Linked DNA regions of Pelodiscus sinensis. The protein of the gene in region 1 interacts with the protein of each later gene in a pairwise test. Links are inferred from orthologs where the notes say so. Each region holds a gene or a part of one and is shown on either strand. Other genes may lie near its edges.

Region 1 (11,596 bases):
ATGCGTTTATATTTTTGGGCTGCAAAAAACAGTACTAAAAAAAACCGGGTTCCAACTAAAGTAAAAAGTTTGGGAAACCCTGATCTAGCCAGCGTTCTATCCATCTTACAGTCCATTTATCCAATCCACATTCCCTTAACTTGCTGGCAAGAATATTGTGGGTGACGGTATCAAAAGCTTTGCTAACGCTGTCGCTGGGGGCTTTGGGAGGACCAGAAACAACTTATTTGAATATTTGTGATTTGCTTAATGAATATGCAAGTATGCAAATGAATGTTACCAGTCCTCCAAAAGCTCGTGAATGGATTTCCTGGTCCCTGTGTCAAAAAGTTTGGGAACCCCTGGTTTATGCTATATGCTTTTTTATATAGGGTAGTCAGAGCTAAATACATACCCCATTTGCAAGGAGTTCCATTATATAATTTAATTTATATAACAGCTTTATAATATTTTCAGTATTCTTTTTCTGACCTGAAAACTTAGTTCAGATATTCTCTGAGACCTAAGTCATGGCTCAAAATCTTATTCCTGTATAACTAGAATATCATGGCAGAGCAGTATGTTGAAATCAAGATTCCTTTTAAAATGTCTTTCACAATATCTTACCTGAAGCCACATAATGAGAGGTAATTCCGTGAAATTTTTGGTAGGGTTGTTTGCATAGTAGAGCCACCAAAACATGCTTGCATTGCTTCTGACTGTTACATACCCCCATGATTCTCTTTGTTCTTGTGATTGTTTTAGAACTGCACCTAAAGAAAAAGGTTATCTGATTCAACATGCTAGGGTTGGGCATTTGACCAATTCAAAACCAACAACAGGCCAAATATTTTAAAGAATTAATTTATTATAACAGTAACAAAGAGAAAGATTTTATTGATTGTGGTAGGCTAGGCCTTAAATACTTATACCTAATCTCAAAAAGTAAGTTTCGAACAGTTATTAACTGAGAAAAATGTGAAACCCAGTGAAATGAACTTCTTAAAAATGAAAGGATGGCACCATAATACAAACAAAAATGTAAGTCACTGCCTATACAAAAGCATTCTGGCTAGAATAATTGATCATGATCAGATAATGGATGGTCAGTTATCTGCCAAGCCTAAACTAGAATGTGAAATACTTGGCCTTAAAACACTTGACCAATAGCAACTTAGCTGAAGATTTCAGGAGCAATATTAGTGGCCTCGAATGAGCCAACATTCTGCTAGCAGTGTTATCAGAATGTTTTGAAAACACCACAAGTAGAGGAAGGGTTATCAGTGTGACTGTTCTAAAATAATTAGTTCAGCCTTATTCTCTTCGGCTCTGATGTGAACCTTTGTAGCCTCAATAATTCACATTCATTCGTATTGCCAAAATGGACTTCAGCTCATCTGTTCATGTTGTGCCATGGTTTCAAAAAGGATTGCATTCTCAATCCTCTGCATTAGCCTGTGTCATTCATTGATAAGCTTTTTGGGACTATTAACATCACCTAAAAATGCTGCCTGCTTTGAAGTGCAACAATGCATTTGCCTTATACTCAAAAACTTTCTGCTGTCCTATCAAGCAATCACACCCAAGATAGGTATTTTGAGCTTTACACCAAACTCTATGGCTCTGATCCTACCATTGGATCAAAAAAGTAGACCATGCACTTATGAAGTGGGTGCAGGCAAGAGGCCTTTATTTTCAGGCAGCTTCACTCAAGGGAATATTGCATTACCCAGTATCAAAGGGCTTGGAACATACAAGCTGAGGATGGAAGCCAAAGGCCAAGCCACAAAAGTCTTGTGCTAGGAGGGAAAATCAGCATCAAGTAAACTAAGATTTACCTTTCCCAGTATAAGCGTGATTCTAACTTTAAATCAATTGTTAGGAATTAACTGGTCAATTGCTTACAATGATCAACAAAGGTGTGTCTTGAAGTTATTTTTCTAACTTCAGGAAAAATCCTGAAGCTGGGCTTGAAAGCAGTTTAACAGCTGGGGCTACGTCTACACTGGCCCCTCTTCCGGAAGGGGCATGTAAATTTCACGAGTCGTCGTAGGGAAATCCGCGGGGGATTTAAATATCCCCCGCGGCATTTAAATAAAAATGTCCGCCGCTTTTTTCCGGCTTTTAAAAAAGCCGGAAAAGAGCGTCTAGACTGGCCCCGATCCTCCGGAAAAAGTGCCCTTTTCCGGAGGGTCTTATTCCTACTTTGAAGTCTAGACGCTCTTTTCCGGCTTTTTTAAAAGCCGGAAAAAAGCGGCGGACATTTTTATTTAAATGCCGCGGGGGATATTTAAATCCCCCGCGGATTTCCCTACGACGACTCGTGAAATTTACATGCCCCTTCCGGAAAAGGGGCCAGTGTAGACGTAGCCCTGAAGTGCAGAGTATCTGCTTGATTTTTACAAGTCCTTGTCCTTTTTATTACCCCCACAAGGTTGCATTGTACAGTAGCTCACAGTAAATCAGAGGTGCAATTTGAATAAGGAATTTTTTTAGCTTAAACATTTTCTTTTGGAGTTTCACTTTATGAAATTATTTCAAGAAATACAGAGGTCCAGCAAGATCCTCAGTTGTATGACCTCTCAAATTTAGACTGACAGATCACATGCATAGTCATTTATCAACATAAAACAGTCTCCCCACTTATATCTTATCAATAAGATAACAGTAAGCTCCAAAACTTCTCAGTTACATTAAACTGATGATGAAGAATGATATTTTGTCTGAGAAAAGTTACACAACTGAGACTTTATCTTCACTTGTCTCTGTTGGGAAACCAGGGAGGGTGAGACAAGCAGCAGATAGTCCATAGAAATCCTCTTCTGTGTAAGAAGGTGGCATCTTTAACCCACCCTACACTAGCTTCATGCTTTTGAGGTAGGGCTGAGGTGGAAATCAGCCACATAATAACAACTGACACTATATCTTAAGGGTGCATAGCACATACTTCTACATTAAAGAGAAGCACATAACTATCAAATTAAAGCACCAATTCCCAACAACAACAACAAATTACACACAATTTGAAACTCAAGCTTTTACCTCAGTGGTGGGCAGCCTGCGCCCGAGGACTGCATGCAGCCCATTGGGGTTCTATGTGTAGCCCGCAAGACGACCATTGCCCATCCACAGAGTTTCCAAATTCTGCTAATTTCTGTCCATGTCGTTTTTTTCCTACTAGTATTATTAAAGTGACACATGCTTGAAAGCAAGAGCAGATGAAGTACATGCTGATTGCACACAACATTGACTGTGAGCCCCATGTACTCCCTCTGCATCCAGTCAAAGTGCTGCTAGGATTCAATCTGCACACCCTGCAAATTCCAGGTACACAAGAGCAGTTAGCAAAACTACCTTATCCTGGGAGACGGGCTTGGTTATGGCCCACTGAGATGAACTAGGGTCATTTATGCAACCCACTCATTAGCCTAGGTTGCCCATTGCTGCCCTAACTTGCAATTCGGAGGCTGTACAGACTGACCCATGCAGAGTTCTATTTAAGTCAGTGGGTTCTATGTGCGGGAAAAGAGCCATTCATATGGTCCTTATTGAAGGATACAGGCTTCACAATTCAGTTCTTATAAATACAACATAAATAAAAGACTGTCTGGTTATCACTTCAATAATGCAAAACTACTTTTGTGGAAGTAAAAAGGACTTACTCCTTGAGATTAGTGGGCTGCAGAATACTCCCACAGCAGATATGTACGTTTTTAGGACATTGAATCAGATAGATCCCTGATTCACAGGCAAATACTTGCTCTTGACTTCAGTAGGGTAATTCACATGGGTGAAATTTATCTCTATTGTTAGGGCCTGATTCTGAACACAGTTCAGACATTTTCCATTGCGAAAGACTAAGGGAACAGCCAGAGTGTCCCAAGAAAGTGATTACACAATTAATGTCACGGGATAGGCAAAGCTTAAAAGAGCATGAGCCCCTTAAAAATCACTGCACAAAACGCTCAGCACGTCTGCATTTAAATGCTTCTGCCAGGACATAGGACAAAAATAAATAAATTAATAAATGGGGGAAGGGGTTGGTACACACGGTGAAGAGAGTCATCATTCATTCCTCAGCGTTCACCTAACAATAAATGCCTTAAAGTTCAGCAAGCCACAAAATCAGTTTAGAGCAAGTTTACTAGGAAGGTGCTTTGAGCAATGTCTATCACCCTAGTCCCAGTAACGCCTCATGGAGCTAGTTAAACATGCTCCCTCATACACTTAGCCTTTACCAAACGTACCTGAACCCAAAGTCAGCAGGAAAAGCATCGGAATAACATGTTGCCTAAGCAGCAGCTCCATCTCTGCAGCAACTGGGGTGGGGAGTTTCCTGACTGAAAATCATATGACTCGAGTCTCCAGTCAGCTATGTAGTAAAAAGGGAAGTGGTGGCTCTCAGGTTACAAAGGGAGCCGGTTACTAGCCAAGGGCGCCCTCTTGCCTCTCCTACATGATAAATGCAAGAGAGATCTGCACTGGTTACACTGTTAACGTGGTTCTATCTGTGCTTTACCAGACTGTCTGATTTCCCCATTTATGCCACAGAATGTACCGACCTTGGTAATAGGAAAACTTTCTTTGATGCTGGGCTCTAACTGCAGCTTGTGAAATGAGGAAAGGAAGTGTGTATAAAATCAGTGAGTGAAACCTGTGCTAAAGGGATTTAGATTAATCTGTTTCCACTTCTCTAGTGCTTTACGGTTTCCAAATTCAGATTCCCTACAGATACAACTGTAAGCAAATATTTTCCCTCCCGTTCCCCCCCCCCCCCAAAAATGCCCTCATATTTTAGATTCTAATTTTATCCTAGTCAGGATTAACACTTTCAAGAACTCCTTGTGTGTATCTTGCAGCTCTAACCCAAAGTGGGCTGTGCCCATTAAAGCTCATGATACCATCTACATGTTTTAGTTAGTTTATAAAGTGCTACCAGACCATTTGTTGTTTTTTAAGTTTATCCTGTACAGACTAACTCGGCTACCCCCTGAAGCTTATTTTTCTCATGTGAGTAGTGAAGTTAATGAGACTCCACACAGGAGAAAGGCCCAACCCTGTAAATCTGACTGCAATATCCTAGATTTAAAATGTTTATACAAGTTCTTCTAAGAGCATAAAAGCAGAATTGTTTTACATGATTAGTTTTTCATGGGGTGTGCTGGAGGACAGAAGGAGGAAAACATTTAAATGATAATTAAGGCTTTACTCTTGCATCTGGCTCTACCCTCGGCATATTTTAATACTATGCATGCCCAGTTGCAGGATCCGGGTCTAAAACACACACCAAGGTGACAGAGGTAGTATATTTTATTAGCTCATCTTCCGTTGATGAGAGACAAGCTTTTGAGACACACAAAGCTCTTCTTCAGGTGACTAATTCTCGGGGATCTCCCTATGAAAAGGAGGCTCTATGGAACACTGTCGGAAACAGGCTCCCTGATCCTGCTCTGAGCTCCACCGCCCGGCAAAAATCAATACCAGGCCAAAACCAAAGTCCACGAAGCGCTCAGTAATGAACACACGGGGGCAGGGGGAGGTAGCGGGATGAATAGCAATGCAAAGCAGCTGCTCCCGCCTGCCCTGTTCTCCGGCTGCAGTTCGCCACGGCTGCCGGCAGGTGGCGCGCGCATCGCGAAGCTGCCGATGCCTCTTGTCCCGCGTCGGGCACCGTAGCCCCCTTCCCCCGCTCTGGCCTCCTTGTTCAAGATGGCGGCGGCGGCCGGGGGAGGGGGCCCCGTGCGGCTCCGGCTGCTCTTTGACTACCCGCCGCCGGGGAGCCCGGGCTGCTCGCTGTGCTGGCTGCTGCTGGAGCCCAGCCAAGTGCGCCTGGTCACCGACCTCATCAGCCTCATCCGGGACAAGTTCGGCTTCAGCCGCCGGGCTCAGCTCAGCCTCTTCCTGGAGGGGGCGCTGCTGCCGCCCACCGAGAGCGCGCGCCTGGTGCGGGACAACGACTCCCTCAGGTAGCGGCCAGGCACGAGGCTCGCTCAGAGACTGGGGGCGGGGTCAGGCAGCTGGAAGGCGCGAGGCGGCGGCGGGGGGTCAGAGGGAGGGGAAGGCTCGAGGCAGGGGGGGGGAGAGGGTCAGAGGGGGGGAAGGCGCGAGGCAGCGGGGGGGGGAGTCGGAGGGGAAGGCGCGAGGCAGTGGGGGGGAGAGGGTCAGAGGGGGGGAAGGCGCGAGGCAGCGGGGGGGGGAGTCGGAGGGGAAGGCGCGAGGCAGCGGGGGGGAGAGGGTCAGAGGGAGGGGGAGGCAGCGGGGGGGGGGGAGGTGCCAGCCTCCCAGAAGTGTGGGGGGAGGAGGGAGGGTCCCTCAGGTAAGAACATAAGAACGGCCATACTGGGTCAGAGAACGGTTCATCCAGCCCAGTGTCCTGTCTGCCGACCGTGGCCAATGCCAGATGCCCCAGAGAGAGGGAACACAATAGATAATCCTCACTCGATCCCTCCCCCACCTCCAGACAAACAGAGGCTAGGGACACTGTTCCTACCCATCCCGGCTAATAGCCATTGGTGGACCTAACCTCCGTGAATCTATCTGCCGCTCTTTAGAACCCTGTTAAAGTCCTCGCCTTCACCACATCCTCTGGCAAGGAGTTCCACAGGTGGACTGTGCACTGAGCAAAGAAGAACATCCTTCTGTTGGTTTTAAACCTGCTGCCGTTTAATTTCATTTGGTGATCCTTAGTTCTTATATTGTGGGAATAAGCAAATAATTTCCTTATTCGCTTTTTCCACACCGGTCATGACTAAATCTGTTAATGGCCCTGATTAACCGCAGCTACCATAACGCCACTACCCCACATGCTCTGCATTTAAAACTCAGAGTTTAAAATGAAGAGCATTCAGGGGAGCTGTCTGCCACCCATGATACAGAGGCAACAGTGCAGGGTGGCAGGTGGGGAGCCAGTCTAAAAACCTGAGCTCCCCACGAACAAAGGCTACTCTGTGTGATTCAAAGAACTAGATAAATTTATGGAGGTTAGGTCCATCCATACTTATTAGTCAGAATGGGTAGGAATGGTATTGCTAGCTTCTGTTTGTCAAAGGCTGGAAATGGATGAAAGGAGAGGGATCACTTGATTACCTGTTTCTGTTCACTACCTCTGGGGCATATGACATTGGCCACTACTGAAAGACAGAATACTGGGCTTAGATGGACCATTGGTCTGATCCGGTATGGCCGTTCTTATGTGTCACAGGCAGCAGTGCAAGATGGCAGGCAGGAGCCGGTCTGCCTGGGGAACCAATTTTTAAACTGGCTCCTCTCACGGACGGGTTTCTGCCTGCCACCCTGCGCTGCTGCTTCTGATACAGAGGTAGCAGAGTGGGGCTGGGAGCGCACTGACTGCTGGCCCCATCTCCAGGGGCCATTGAATAATCTGCTAACAATTGTTGTGATTACACAATTACTAAATTAAACAATTTGAAACATCCCTACTCTATTCTCCTTGTGCAGACACCTTTTAATACCTTTCAAATCATATCATCTGGTCATATTGTAGCCGAAGTTTTAACACTCTTTTGAAAAGCACATTTATTGTTGTCTGGAAGTCCTCTTAAAATCTTGAGATTTTGGAGGCAGGTTTAGAGTGGTATACAAACTCTGTGCCTCAGCCCAAATATCAGAAGTTTGGCAGGTGTGGTGAGAGGAAATCTGGGGTGCATGGCAAGGCTTCTATGCTGCTGGAGGACAGTATAACCCATATTCCCTGCAGATTGCCCACTGAGTGCCCTTAATACATGGCATCTGCACTAGGGATTTAAAATCCTATGTAGTTGGTTAAGTGGTTAAAGGTGGTGATAACTAATTAACTGATTAAAGGGAGCTAGGCAGTGGAGTTGGTGCACCCTCTCTCCCAACCCCACAGGAGCAGCCCCTGCCTGAAATGCACCCAGGCATGCTGTGGACAGAGGCTGCTCTGGAGAGCCAGAGCAGCCCCTGAATGAAGAGTGTCTGCTGCAGAGAAGCTGTTCCATCCAGGCTAGAATGCCCTTGTGCACGGCAGGCCTGGTGGGGCTGGAACAGCCCCCTTCACGCTATGGGCAAGAATCTACTCCATCTCCCACCCCTTAATCGGAACCGGTAAGAATCCCTTGTTAAGGGGGATGCTTATTGGTTAACCTTTTACATCCCTAATTTATGCTGGCATGTGGATCGCTTGGGCACCAGGGATGTGTTGCAGTGTGCACTACCCCTTTTCCCACACATGAGCATTTGGGGATTAAGGGTGTAAGTGACTAGTCGAGTAACTACTCGCTTTCCCTCCCCCCTCCGTGCTGCCTCTGTATTGGGGGAGGTTCCCACAGCACTGACTCTGCGGTGGACAGAGGAGGCAAAGGCTCAGTGGTCTGAGATCCAGCTTGCACCAGGTCCTGGACCTACCCCCCACTGCAGCTCCGCATTTTAAATGTAGTAAGAGCCAGGTGGGCAGATAGTGGAAGCCGGCTTCCACTATCTGCCCACCTGGCTCTTACTACATTTAAACTGCAAAGCTGCAGTGAGAATAGGTCCAGGAAACAACACAATCTGGGACTTAGCAGACCCGCATGAGCCAGGGCTGGGACCTACCGCTGCTGCGGCTCTGCAGTTTAAATGTAGTAGGAGCCGGGCTGCCTCCACACCTGGCTTTTGCTACATTTAAACTGCAGAGCCACTTCAGGGAAATTTATCAGCTAATTGTGTAGTAAATACAAATTTTATCAACTGCACAATTAGTCAGTTACCCACTTCTTAACATCCTTACTGGGGATTTTAGGCTGTTTGACAGTTTAATCTTTGGCGTACTTTGTTTTTGAGATTAGTTTGTTTCCATCTCTTCGTCTGCTGAGTTAATATTTTTTAGCTCCTACGTGAATAGCTATGACATCCTAGACCAGTGGTCTCCAACCTTTTTACACCCAAGATCACTTTTTAACTCAGTCCCGCCCTCTCTTCTCCTGTCCATCACTTGCTATCTCCAGCCCTTATACACTCTGTTAAACAGTTTATTTTTAAATTATGCAATATATAAAATTAAAATCACGTTTATAGTTATGAAATAAATGGTCTTTTTAATTCATGCTATTTAAATGTCAAATGAAGCATTTACAATTATACATTTTGTTCTCTGCTATTTTGTAAATCTAAAATCAAGTATTGATAAGTATATATTTTTTCTTCCAATAACAAAGTCTCAGTGTGACACCTGTGACTGAACAGTATCTGTCAGTGTCTTGAAGTCTGGGTTGTAGTCTGAGTTTGCTAGTCGTATACAGTCCATCAGATGGGCATCTGTGATCCTGCGCTCAGCTTGGGAAGCTTGCTCCAGCACAGCTGGAGCTAGACGCAGCCTCCCTGGGCTAAGCGCAGGGCAGCCAGGCTGGAGGGAAGAGAAGTGGCTGCCTGGGCAGCTGGCCATGGCGCTCAGCCTGGGTGCACCAAGCTCCATGTGGGCAGGCGCAGAGGAGAAGCCGCCAATCAGCTGGAGCGTGGGGTAGCCTCTTTCAGCTGAAAGCCAAAGTCAGCTTGCTGGGGTGATTCAGCCCTCCCGACGTCTCAGCTCCCAGCATTCTCGCAGCTACTCGCCTGTGTTGTTGCTCGGTGAGTAGCAGCTCCTCAAATGAGGAAATCTAATGTAAATGTTCTGCGCAGGCACACAGTTCAGAGAGGGCTCAAGAGATACTCTTAGAGCCCCTGAGATCTACCGGTAGATCACGATCTACTGGTTGGTGACCACGGTCCTAGACCGTAGTCTAATAACTATTTTAAACTCAGTATGTAGAAAGGAATATTAATGTACTAGTTGTACTGAACATTGGTTTATTGTCTTTTTGACAGAGTTAAATTGGAAAAGATAGTTTCAGATAGTTGTGATGAGATTGGTAATGGTATAATTTACTCATCAAGAAAAGAGAGAAAAAAATATAGCCAAAAGTTGGAAGTGGAGGGGAATGCTAAAAGTGAAGATGACAGACACAGAAGGAAAAAGAAGAAGAAACAGAGCCCTGAACATCTTTCTTGTAAGGAAGAGGACTCTGTAAATGTTCAAGACACTCGGAAAAAGTCCAAGAAAAGAAAAAGAAAAGATGTGAATGAAAGAAATGATATCGCAGGAGGAAATGATGACAGCAGTCTTGATGAGTCCAAAAAACTTAAAAAAAAGTCCGAGGGAAAGAAAGATCTGGAAACAGAAAGAAAGGATGCTAAGCAGAGAAAAACAAGGCCAATTAGAGAAAAGACTGTTTTAGAAAAAGCCAACCACAATTTCCCTCTGAATCCTAGTAAAAGTAGCTCAGTAAAAAACATTGCAGCACAGTCTAGCAAAAAGAGGGAAGGAATTTCAGATCGTGATTCCTCCAGCACATCATCTGACAGTGAAATGGATATGAAACAAAATAAATCCTCACATAAACCTATGGCAGCAATGCTACACAGAGACAAATCCCAACTTGCAAATTCTGTTATAAAAACTGTTGTTGCTAGTAAAGTTACTGCCAAGTCTACAGATGAAAATTTCCCCAAGACTGCAATTAGTAAAAAAACTAAACCCCAGTCCTCTAGTTCAGATTCTAACTCTAGTATAGAGATGGAAGAAGAGCAGCAGCAGCAAAGCAATGACTCAAAGGGAAAACTGCTGCCTAAAAATCCCCCAGTTGTGAACATTATGGCAAAGTCCCCCAAAGCAAAGACCTCTTCTTCGGAGTCTGATAGTTCAGATTCAGAGACATTTGTTATTAAAAAGCCCATAGCAAATGTTGGCTTCAATAAATCCTTAGTAAGAAGTGGTGGTAAACAGTTGCCAGCTAGCAATCAAGGACCAGCTGTAAACTCCAGCAGTTTTGGAAGGGGACTTGGTAGAGGAGAGGATAACTTCTGGAGAGGACATAGGGGCCGGGGGTGTCGTGCGGTGATCCGGGGTCGGGGCCGTGGCCGTGGCCGTGGAGAAAGCAATAGCTTCTTCTTTAACTATGGCGATGAAAACCAGAAACATCAGCAGTTAAATGAAGAAGCAACAAACACTTCTGTTGTTATCCAGGTGAGTGACTATTTATGTCCACATAACATATTTTTATAAAGTTTTTATTAATTTATAGTTTTCTTACTAAAATTTCAGTAATTAAATATACAGAAATGCAGAAATATCACTAGCTCTTTTATAGTGTTTCGCAACACTAGATCTCAAAGCACTTAACAAAGAAGGTTGGTATCTTTATGCTCATTTTACAGATATGAAAATTGAAGCAAGGAAAAGAGATTTGGCCAAGATCATTCATGAGCCTGGTGTCAGAAATGGGAATAGAACCCACATTTTGTGAATCCAGATTAAGTGCTCTGCGCTGCCTCTCTCATCTAGGCTACTTCTACACTGCAGAGCTATTTCGGGATACCTTTGGTATCCCGAAATAGCTATTCTATGTCGTAATAGAAAGTCTGTTATATCAAAATATAATAGGTTCACTATTCCAATATTCCTGTAAACCTCATTGCACGAGAGTTAAAGGAAGTTTCAGAATAGCGCTTTATTTCAAAGTTACCTTGAAATAAGCTACACAGTTTGATCATAAATACCAAGAACAAATAAAAATGAAAAGAACAAGAGCAATATAAAGAATACAACTCTGTTGTTCATTTAGTT
Region 2 (11,324 bases), on another chromosome or scaffold:
TGGACGCTTTCTTTTTGCACAAAACCCCCCTTTACCACAAGATCCTTAAGCCCCCCAAAAAAGGAGGTTTAACGATATTGCGGAAAAAGGGGGTTTTGCGTAAAAACCCCAGTGCAAAAATGGATTGGCAGAAAATATGCAAATGAGATTGTAGCTTATGCAAATGAGTCTCATTTGTGTATTTTTTGCCAAGAAAACTCATAGTGTAGACGTAGCCTTTGGTTTTGGAATATACAACAAGGTAAAAGACAAGTCTCCTAATCTTAGTTTTGTTTATTTTATTTCACCATATGGAACAAGTTAGGTTATAATGAGGTAGTGTCCAATCTTTGACTATCCCCAGTCAAGTAATTTCCACTTTCATTTATTTTATGCCAAATAATGTTTGCATTATCTCCATCTAGTACTCCCATAGTATTTGTGTGACTCATTGTTAGGCTCGCTCTTAGCTATCAGTCCAATTCTGCTGACAATAAGATCTAAAAAGTGGGATTGGGCCAATATATAATCAGTCTTTGTTAGAGGACGCAGCCACAACACAGAATACCAAACCAGGGCACCTGTACCGGTCTTCTTCCACATATCAAGTTCAATCCTTAACTTCAGTCATGGGAGCAGTCCCATCAGGATTAGTCACATGCTTAAAGTTAAACAACTGCATTGCAGGATGGGAATCAGAGCCATTCAACACCCTAAAGAATCAAGGCCATAGTTCAAACTTCTCAAAACTCTTACTCTTCAAACATCTCAGCCATCTCCTCCCAAAACCCTCAATACTTCCTATGCCCCAAATTTCTCTGCTAAATTACTGCATGGATCTTTTCCACATATCCCTGTATTGAGCAGCTTTATGTCACCCTTTAACTTCAGAGAAGACTATTAACATTTTACTATAAAAAAAGAGTTTATTTATCAAATTTCTGTATTACTTGAACAAAAGTCATTCAGTTATGGCAAATGCTATAATGCTTTATGGGATTCTAACTGAAACATACAGTGTATAGTGTCAAGTAGCTTACAAATATTTGAACTCATAGACTAAGTTAAAAACCCTTAATTCACACTTGCCACTGTAAAAATGTCAGTGGTAGAACTCACAACAATCTCGTACTTTTCTAGTGATAGTACCATTGACTAATTTCATTACAACAGCAATATAAATAAACTTTCTGAAAGACTTTCTTGAGACAGTCACAGGAAATGCAAGTTTGTTAACATTAAATCATTTTACTTAAGAACTTTACAGGTTATTTCAATACTGTTAGGAGACCACTGGTCAACTACAAAGAACATGTTACATAAGTTTTGTTTAAACTTCACGCAAGGACTTAAAACAAGGCTACAGCAAGACATTAGTAGTCAAAACAATGATCAAGATTCACCATCACAGCCTAGAATAAATTTCTAGCATGACTGCTGCAGCTAAACTCCATAACACACAGCAGGACCTTTGTAAGGAAACAGAAATAAATCTGCTGCTTTGTTACTTTGTTTTAAAACAGTATGTTCAAAACTCTTTAATTAGCAGTCTAACTATGCAGGAAAGGTATTTGTGCATCACTGGGAAGAGAAGGATGGAGTGTTGTACATGCTGTGCTAGGGTATCAAGAACACAAGACCGAACTCTTCAAATAATCAGATCGTTTTGGTATGCAAATCCTCCTAAGTACATTTTAATTCCAGGCCAAACACGTACACACACTCTAACTTACAGTGAAAATAAACCACCCAGAAGAGGTGGAGCACTCATGCAGAAGTGCTACATTTTTGCTTTTATTAAAAAAAAAAAAAAAAAAAAAGGTTTCAGAGATTGTTCTGGCCCCAATCCTTCAACATGAGCTTCTGAGATGGAATCTCAGGTCAGCTGGTACGGGATCAGAGGACTGGGGATAACAGATTCAATTGTTTAGACCAATTTATTTTGCTCTTCCCAATACAACAGCATATGTAAGTATGCCTGGTCCACGTGGTACATTGCTAATCAAGAATAAATGTAGTACATTACTCTTAAAACATTGTTCTGTCCCTCTGTAAATCTTTAGATTTAAATCTACCCATGTTCATAATGTAGCTGCACTCTGGTTCTCAGACACACTAGGAGTAGTTTTATCATTTTCTATCATTTTATTTGGTACACATCAAACCATGGTAGAGTTCCTGACCAAAAAACATCAACAACTTTGCAATCACTCATTGCCCTGTGAGCAGCTCATAGCAAAAAAGAGTTAATCTCTGGGCGCAGACACTTACACCCACGGTTCACAATAGTCATAATTCTTGTGCATGTAAAATGACAGCCATCAAATTAGGAGTCAATTGAGACCTGCTCTGAAAAATCTTGAAAACCAATGACACTGAGGGATCTAGAGGCACTTGAATATAACCTAGGCCTTTAAAAATGTGGCAGCTCTTTGAAAAGTTACTGTAAAAACAGCCTTCTGAAATTTCACTTGTACTGTGTATCAATAACTCAAAATCATTTGTTGAGATCCTTCTGTCAGTCATGCAAACTCATCCTAGGTTTACAAAAGAATACTGTACACTCTTGTGGTTCAAGCATCCACTATCCTAAGTTTATATTTAGTTGAGATCACTTCTACAATACTCCGTTATGTACTATTTAAATTAAAAAAGGCTGCAAGGCAACTATTTCACCTTGATCTCAACAGTGTAACCCACAACTGAATAAGATTATCTAGGTCTAAATAAATCAGCTGCATTTGAACCTGCAACTGAAAAAGCTAAGTTTGATGATGCAACAGAAACCAGAGCCCTCTCCCAGGGTAGTACTGACACTGCACTGAACAGGTGTAAGAAGTAACTTATCTTTGTCACTGAAGTAAATAGGGTGATTTAGGGAAAGCAAGGGGAGGGGGAGTTGAGGGAAAGAGAATCTGTTAAATAAGGTGCCATTTTACACTCTTTTACTACTTTTAGAGTAGACTTGCCCTTCCAAAAAATGGTTTCTACAGATGACACACACATATTAGAGAAGTAAAATGCACTCTAACTAGGATTCCTAATATTCTAAAAGCTTCAATATTGAAAAATTTGTATGTATAGGTTATACACGCCAAATATAACAGCCTCGGATATTTGAGGAAGGTTTTGAAACTCAGCCCAGATCTGAAGAAAAGTGTCCATTAAGCACTATTTGAGGGTAGTGAACTCTAGCTGGACACTGCACTGCTATTCATACAAAGATTGTATCTGTTTTGACTTAGCTCCTCAAATCCTCTGAATAGCAGCAATTACAAGTACTTATACTGTACAGCACCGTGAGAAACTGGCATGTTCATTCAGGCACATTTTAATGAAACACCATTCACAACTACTGCACATAGTTAAACTACTTTTTTAAAAAAATTGTCAACAGATTTTGCAAGAGTAAGATACTGAAAGATCATAAATTCAGTTAATTTGCTGGATATATAGAGACAACATGAGCTATTTTCTGATTTAAGGTCCATGCCCCCTCGTGCTTGAGATATGCCCCCAGCAAGAAAAAGAGGAGAGAGGGGAAAAAAGCATCTGCTACTCAAAAGCTAACTTTAGCCTAAGACATGATTTAAATTATGTCAGTAGTCTTCCACCTCTGCTTCTTACATACACATCTACCAAAGCTAGAATGAAAGGAAATACTTCATCTCATGCATACAAAAGCAGCAAAATACTGTTATTATTTCAAACATTTGTTCTCCCTAAGGTAACTTTGAGGCCTCCCACCAACATAATAAATTAATTCTCCCAACAGGTTTTTTTAAAAAAAACAAATCTACTCCATCATCCTAAGGGACAAGGAGGGACACCCACTGTACAAGCCATCTGTCCTCACACTCAACAAGAGGATCATATTACAGAACTACTCATCTTTGCACGTTTCAGGTACCACATGATGTAGCAGACATTTTTGTAAAGTCTATAAAGGCATAGATGCTCACCCTAGAGATGGTCAGAGGCATGTTGAAGTCTTTTCCACCTTGAAGTCTAAAACCCCAAGGAGCAGGGCCGACCAAAGACACACTGTAGTTGCTCATGGTGTTGGATGCTGAAGGACTAGTTCCAGATAATAAATGTCTGTGAAAGAGGATTACATTTTAGTGTAAATCTTAATAAGCCATGTACACAATGAAATAGAAATATTAATTTAAAAGGGGGCACTGTCAACTCAAATATATGTTGCAAATAATTTTTTTCCCTGTTTTAAAGACCTTTAACTGTTAATAATGGGCTATAGAGGTCTCATTTGTTACTAATTGTCCTATCTGCTGACTTTTTGGCCTACCAGATTAGGAAATGAAAACATTATTTACTTTCTGATTCTTAGTACTGCAATATTTGGGTTTCACATACTGCATACAGTGATTTTTTTTAATAATTGTTTTCTTTGGAGAAAATGTGGAAATTTCTCCTATGTTTTTGTTTAGAGGTTATTTAATCTGGTTTTCACAAAATGTTAAGTACTGGATCAAATTTAAATTTACATGGTTCTAAAAATTACATAAGTACATAAAAATGTTAACAGTTTATGGAAAATATGTTAGCACAGTAATTTCCCACAAAATATATTTCCTGTGATACTATTAAGTCACAAGTGCACAGATGCATTCAAACACTCATTCACAAGTAGTGTGCTTGTTTTGGTTACACATTCAAATACCAAAAACTACAAAATGTATTATCGAAAGTTATTCCAAGGGGAAAATGTTGTTTCTTGGCATTTTTGCCAATAGTTTATGTACATCAGATAACTATTTCCATTTTTATAGTAGGCACATACAAGCTATTACAGAAGAAATCAGAAAAAAAAAAGAAACAAATATGCAGAGAAAATTATGTACCAAATACCAAGGCAACTTATTTAAGAAAAAGTATTTTAAGAGAATCCCAAGATTATTTTCCCTCCTCCCCCAACAAGGATGAAGGTTTACCTTTACAAAGCACGCTGTGCACTTATCTTTGATACTGAGCAACAAAATTAACAGCTTCAGCTGCACCACATACAGGCAACATTACAATGACGTCTTAGGTAGTAGCTACCTTCTATTTTTATATTTGAAGTGGAGGGAGGGGAGAGAGCGTGCACACACTAAGGGATGGATTACTGTAAGACTACACCAGAGCAATTTAAAATTCCACATTTACTTAATATAGGAAATTTAAGATCGAACTTCAGTCAAGCAGAAAAAAGTGTGTTTCAAGCATCAAGTACTGCAAGGATTATTTTTTTAGTATGTTTACACTACAGTATACATAAATCTAATAAAATGTCATTTCTATGGGACTACTGCCTGGGAAGTTCCATAAAATGTCTCACTCCAAGCCTAGAAATGCACAAAAGTAATGAGGCAAAATTATATAGATTTCTAGATACATTTCACCAAAAGAATCTAGCTCTTAAGCCTAATTTCCATATGAAGGATCAAAGTGTAATGGTCCTATTCACACCAGTAGTTCCATTTAACTAAATAAAATAGGAATATCTGGCTACAGCATGCTAACAAGATAACTTTTAGGAACTATTTCTCCAAGCTAACAACAGAACAAGATAGTCCCTGAACTACTTACATCCTCATGCCAGAAGCTGCAAAAGGACCATTGCGCCCACTGATTTCTTACGTTTCCATCTCCTGTGCTCCCACACGCAGCTGACCAAACATAGTCCCCTGAATGCCAATGCCTCCCTACTTGAAAGGATCCTTCTCTTCTTCCTTCCTTCCCTTCCCTCCCTCACCCACACAAAAGAAAATGTCCACAGACTGAGATATGATCCTTATAGAATTTGCTCATTAGTTCTAGGAAGAACTACAATTCACTGAATCATTCTATGTACTATACACTGAATTCCATCTAAAGTGCATATTTATTACAGATTTTACTACCATGAGAAAATGTTTTGTTCTCCCTAAATTAAGTTTATCATTTTAATGTGATCTCTCAGATTAATGGTGGTGGGGAAAACAAACCTTATCTAATGCATTGGAACTCAGTTTGATCACCGGTAAGTGACATGATTTCCCCCTCTCTCCCCAACTGAGAGCAAAATTAAGCATGTGAATATTTTTCCCTGAATGGGTTAAGAGGGGGAGAGTTTAAAAAATAATTCACGAAGAGATACCAGAAATTGGTTTGTAATGGTAAAAGGAATGGTAAGATACAATATGCCTCTCTGCACACACATACCCCTTTTGGGCTTGCAATTAAACTTCTGCATCTCATAAAACTAGAGAACTTTTTTGGGATGGGGAGGGGAAGGGGAGGAGAGCTACAGAAACACCCTAAGAAAACAGATTTACTGATGTGTTTGTGCCATCCTTAAAGATTCTACAGCTAACATCATGTGACTCAAAGCCCAGCAAATGCATGGATGCCCTCCTTATATCCATGGATGCAGATATCAAGAGACATGTCTGAAGATATAAAATGTGGATCTGCATCCATCTGCTATCTAGAGCCCAAATCTGCAGATATCCATGGCCCATGTTTGCAGAGAAGAGAGAGAGGTATAAATTTGGTGTATGTGCAGGGCTCTATTAATTGAAAATGAAAAGAGAATGAAAGAATTCTCTATGAAAAGAGAATGTGCAACAACTAGCTAAGGACTAAGTTGTGAAACTCTGGTGCGGCTGAACATTCAGTGATCCTTCTTGTGTAAGTGCTCAACAAAGCATTTTGCCATCTAAACATAAGTGAGGACAGGTTAAGTGCATCATTGCCCCCTGTAGGACAGAATCAGAAATGCTCAACTGTAGGTCATACTTCCAGTAATGCTAACAGATAACTGAGATACTAAAGTGACTGTGCATTCAGGAAAATCTGGTGTTCTGCTGCGGTGAATATCCCAGTATCCCCAATGTGCAGAGAAAAGAAAAAAGGAGACATCTTAAGTGGACATGTGTTATAGTATGAAATGATCAAAAAGTTAGGTTTGATTTTGTGTGTGTACTCCGTTGAACACCACACCATTTAAAAAAAGATTAAGCCTGGGCTTACAAGTGAAACTGCTGGCTTTACTGTTCCTGCAGCTATCTGGTTACAAAAGTCCCCACAGGCAAGAGGAAATGCATGGCCATAATCAAACAATTACACACCCTAAACTTGCCCAACCCAGCTCAGCTATGAACTTTCCTTCGCAAATCCTTTCCCTTCTTCCCCCCCCCCCCCCCTTCTCCCCTCACTTTTACCATTTTTGGTGCTACTTTGTGCAACATCCTTGCATGTAAAAACTAAAGCAGAGAGTGCGGGCACATGACACCCCGACACAGGCTTGCACGGTTGGCACCTACAAGACTGACTCTGGTCCCCGTTCCGCTGGCTGCTGCTGTTTTAAGCAGAGCTCTCCAAGAGGAGCACACATCAGTTACACGGTAACCCGTAAGAGCTCGGAGCTTGTCGCTTCCCTTAACACCAACAGCACGGTCGGCTACCAAGGGGCTTTCAAGGGGGGAAAACACCAAACCAACCGAAGCCACTCGCGAAGCGCGTAACAATTCAGAGCCACCCCAGGGGAGCCTCGCTTAGACACACCCGCTTTTCCTGCAGCTTCACATCGGCGCAACTCTCCGTCCCGCTCCCCCAGGGGCTCCGACCTGCCCACCCCCCTCGGGGCTTCAACGTGAGAGAGACTGCGCCCCGCGCCTTCCCCCCGGCACCAGGGGTGGATGCGCCGCTCGGGATGGGGCTGCAGACGCCCCGGAGCTCAGGCGCCTGCAGTCGCGCTGCAGAGCTGTCCCGGCCCGGTTCCCACGCACGGAGCCCCGGAGGAGGGGAGCACGCTGCGGCGCCTCCGGCAGGTGCCCCTCCTGCAGCCTGGCTAGCGCCGCACCTGAGCCACCAGCCCCCTCCTCGGCCGCAAGTGCCTCGCCGCGCTGCCCCAGGCGGTCCCCGCCCCGGCGCTCGGCACCTGCTCACCTGGGGGCTGCAGCAGCCGCGCGGCGGGAGAGGCCCGGGCGAGAGGCAGGGAGCTCGCAGCGCGTGTGAGAGGCTGGGGCTGCCGCGTCCCGCGGGGCTTGTTTTCACTTCCGCCTCGCTCTGCTCCTCCCCCGGCCCAGGAGGGATGGGGAAGTTCTCTGCTCTGCAGCCGAGCGAGAGAGGAGGAAGCCCTGCCGGGCGGGCAGCGGGGGAGGAGGAGCGGGTGAAAGGCCAGGACAACAGAGCCAAAAGAGAGCTCGCACAGAAAGTCAGGCCCTGGCCTGCCAGCCAGGGCAGCCCCGCCCAATTAGCGAAGGGTAGGGGGGTGCAAAATACTGTTCACAGCACCTAGGGTTACCTCAGTGCCACAGACATTCTGGAATAGTGATAGAGATGTAGCCGTGTTAGTCTGGTGTAGCTGAAACAAAATACAGGACTATGTAGCACTTTAAAGACTAACAAGATGGTTTATTAGATGATGAGCTTTCATGGGCCAGACCCACTTCCTCAGATCAAATAGTGGAAGAAAATAGTCACAACCATATATACCAAAGGATACAATTAAAAAAAATGAACACATATGAAAAAGACAAATCACACTACAGAAGAGAGGTGGGATTCAGGGGAGGGGGGAAGGAAGGTGAATGCCTGTGAGTTAATGATATTAGAGGTGGGGAAGGGGAGATGTCTGTGAGTTAATGGTATTAGAGGTGATAATTGGAGAAGCTATCTTTGTAATGGGTAAGGTAGTTGGGGTCTCTGTTCAGCCCCCTGCGGAGAGTGTCGAATTTTAGCATGAATGCCAGTTCAGAGGATTCCCTTTCAAGTGCAGATTTGAATGTCTTCTGAAGTAGGATGCATGTGATTAGGTCATTGAGACAGTGTCCTTTCTGGTTGAAATGGCAAGAAACTGTTTTTTTTCTTTGTGATCCTGTCTAATGTCTGTTTTGTGGGCATTGATTCTTTGGCGAAGTGTCTGAGTCGTTTGTCCAATGTACATAGCAGATGGACACTTTTGGCACATGATAGCATAGATTATATTTCTGGATGCGCAGGAATATGTATTCTTGATCTTAAAACTCACTTGGTTAAGCCCAATAATGGTATCAGCAGAGTGAATATGTGGACAAAGCTGGCAATGGGGTTTGTTGCAAGGGAAAGTACCAGGGTTGGTATTAGTGTGGTATGTCCTGTGGTTGTTGGTAAGAATCATCTTGAGGTTAGGTGGTTGTCTATAGGAGACTATGGGTCTGTCTCCCAGAGCTTCTTGGAGTTTAATGTCCTGTTCCAGTATAGGCTGTAATTTATTGATAATGTGTTGGACAGGTTTAAGTTGGGAGCTGTAGGTGATGACAAGTGGTGGTCTATTGTTGGTTTTCTTGGGTCTGTCTTGTAGTAGATGGTTTCTAGGTATTTGTTTGGCTCTTTCAATTTGCTTTTTTATTTCTCCAGGTAGGTAGTTGAGGTGTATAAATGCTTAGTAGAGATCCTGAAGTTTCTGGTCTCTGTCAGTGGGATTAGAGCAGATGCGGTTGTATCGACACTCTCCGCAGGGGGCTGAACAAAGACCCCAACTACCTTACCCATTACAAAGATAGCTTCCCCAATTATCACCTCTAATACCATTAACTCACAGACATCTCCCCTTCCCCACCTCTAATATCATTAACTCACAGGCATTCACCTTCCTTCCCCCCTCCCCTGAATCCCACCTCTCTTCTGTAGTGTGATTTGTCTTTTTCATATGTGTTCATTTTTTTTAATTGTATCCTTTGGTATATATGGTTGTGACTATTTTCTTCCACTATTTGATCTGAGGAAGTGGGTCTGGCCTACGAAAGCTCATCATCTAATAAACCATCTTGTTAGTCTTTAAAGTGCTACATAGTCCTGTATTTTGTTACAGACATTCTGGGCACTTGCCAGGACGCTGAATGACTTAAGACGTCCAGCATTCCTATTAGTGTGAAATGCTGTATAATCATCCCCATTAGCCACCCTGGAGAACAGTCCCAAGACCAGTAATAGATTCAGCTGCAGTAGAGAGGTGGATAGTAGCAGCAGTAACGCTCAGGTGTGTGGCAGAGTTGTGCTGGGTACAGCAGGATAAGGGTGCACACGTGACTACACCATTTGTGCCACACCACCTCCCACTACTAGGACCAGCTGGGGGGCACTTTGTTCTGCCAGCAGCTGAAGTTCTGAGAGTGTGCCAGTCCTGCTTCCCTTCCGGTCTCGTGCTTATCCTACGTCAGGGATGGCAAGTTATATGGGCCGATGGTGCCCAGGCTCTGGGGATATTCCTGGCCTCAGGACTGGCTCCAGCAAAGTTTGGGGCCTGGTCTCTCCTGGGTCCCATCTGCTGACCCCATCCATCTACCCCCACATATCCACTCCCCCCCACACTGTGCATCCCACAGCCAGCCTGCTGCCTTGGGCAATTTAAAAATGATGCAGGGGCCCTCACTGCCAACACCACTGGTAGTGCAGGAGGGCTGGAGCAGCTTCCTATTTACTCCCTACATGTATGGTGGCCAAAACATTCCTATAGCCCCTGGGCTAAGGGGGCGGGAGCAGTGTCTCTATCCCCTGTCCCTGCCCTGAGTCCCCTATGTGCAATGGGAGTTGTTGATGTGGTGCTTGAGAGCTGCTACCAGGGCAGGGTGCCCCAGGTAAGTGCTTCACCACCTCCTGCACCCCCACCTCTTGACCCAGCCAAGAGCCTGCACCCCAAACTTCTTCACAGAGCCTACACCCTCTCCTGTACCCCAGTCCCATGCCCAGACCAAAGTCTGCACCCAAACTCCATCCTAGAACCCACATCTCAGACATTTTCCCCACCCAAATTCCCTCACCGGGATGGAGGGACGGACACCCCACCCCCCTTCCTCTCCCTCCTTTGTGTGAAGAAGGATGCAGACTTTTTGTGTTTCAGAACAAGATCAAAATTTCTAGAAACCTGCTGCACTTGCCCTAGTTAGTTCCAGCCACGCACCCTGAGATAAGCCCTCAGGTCTAACTGGCAGAGGTTAAGCATTCACCAAGCTTTTAGGGAAGGAAGAGCTCCATAAAGCCTAGTATTTTTAGATGCAGGGGTGACGGATTTCATCTCTAGTTACTGTAGTTACTTCCTACTGTGGACGTGAGAAGCTGATGGGATGGCTTTGTATTTGCTCAGATTTTTAAGCCTGTGGCAAAAGCACTTAGACACTGCAGCAGGCACTTTTAAAATGTATTTATTAAAAATAAAAAGGACTACAGTGAAAATGGCTTGCAAAATTTTTTTTTTCCAATTAAACAGTATTTATGTGGCTGGACTGGAATGCACTTTTGGTAATGGTTCCTCCCAATGCTCCCTTCCCCTCCCCACTTCCGATTTAGCATCTCTGCTCAGGCTAAAAAGAAAATCCCTA

The links.
Region 2: the proteins of COIL (region 1) and PDLIM5 interact in binary tests that used the Homo sapiens proteins (3 or more experiments, as listed by UniProt). The two-hybrid records come from large-scale screens. The link is inferred for Pelodiscus sinensis from reciprocal best matches to the Homo sapiens genes COIL and PDLIM5.

The regions. Positions count from the first base shown.
Region 1 is NC_134730.1:18,933,334-18,944,929, reverse strand, and holds the start of COIL (coilin), read left to right. Parts: upstream 1-5,643; 5' UTR 5,644-5,688; coding exon 5,689-5,945; intron 5,946-9,798; coding exon 9,799-10,996; intron 10,997-11,596. Other genes in the region: SCPEP1 (retinoid-inducible serine carboxypeptidase), read right to left, coding at 607-752, 4,227-4,287. UniProt on the Homo sapiens protein: Component of nuclear coiled bodies, also known as Cajal bodies or CBs, which are involved in the modification and assembly of nucleoplasmic snRNPs.
Region 2 is NC_134715.1:19,388,479-19,399,802, reverse strand, and holds the start of PDLIM5 (PDZ and LIM domain protein 5), read right to left. Parts: upstream 5,723-11,324; 5' UTR 5,577-5,722; coding exon 5,569-5,576; intron 5,072-5,568; exon of another isoform or gene 4,932-5,071; intron 4,078-4,931; coding exon 3,942-4,077; intron 1-3,941. UniProt on the Homo sapiens protein: May play an important role in the heart development by scaffolding PKC to the Z-disk region. May play a role in the regulation of cardiomyocyte expansion. Isoforms lacking the LIM domains may negatively modulate the scaffolding activity of isoform 1.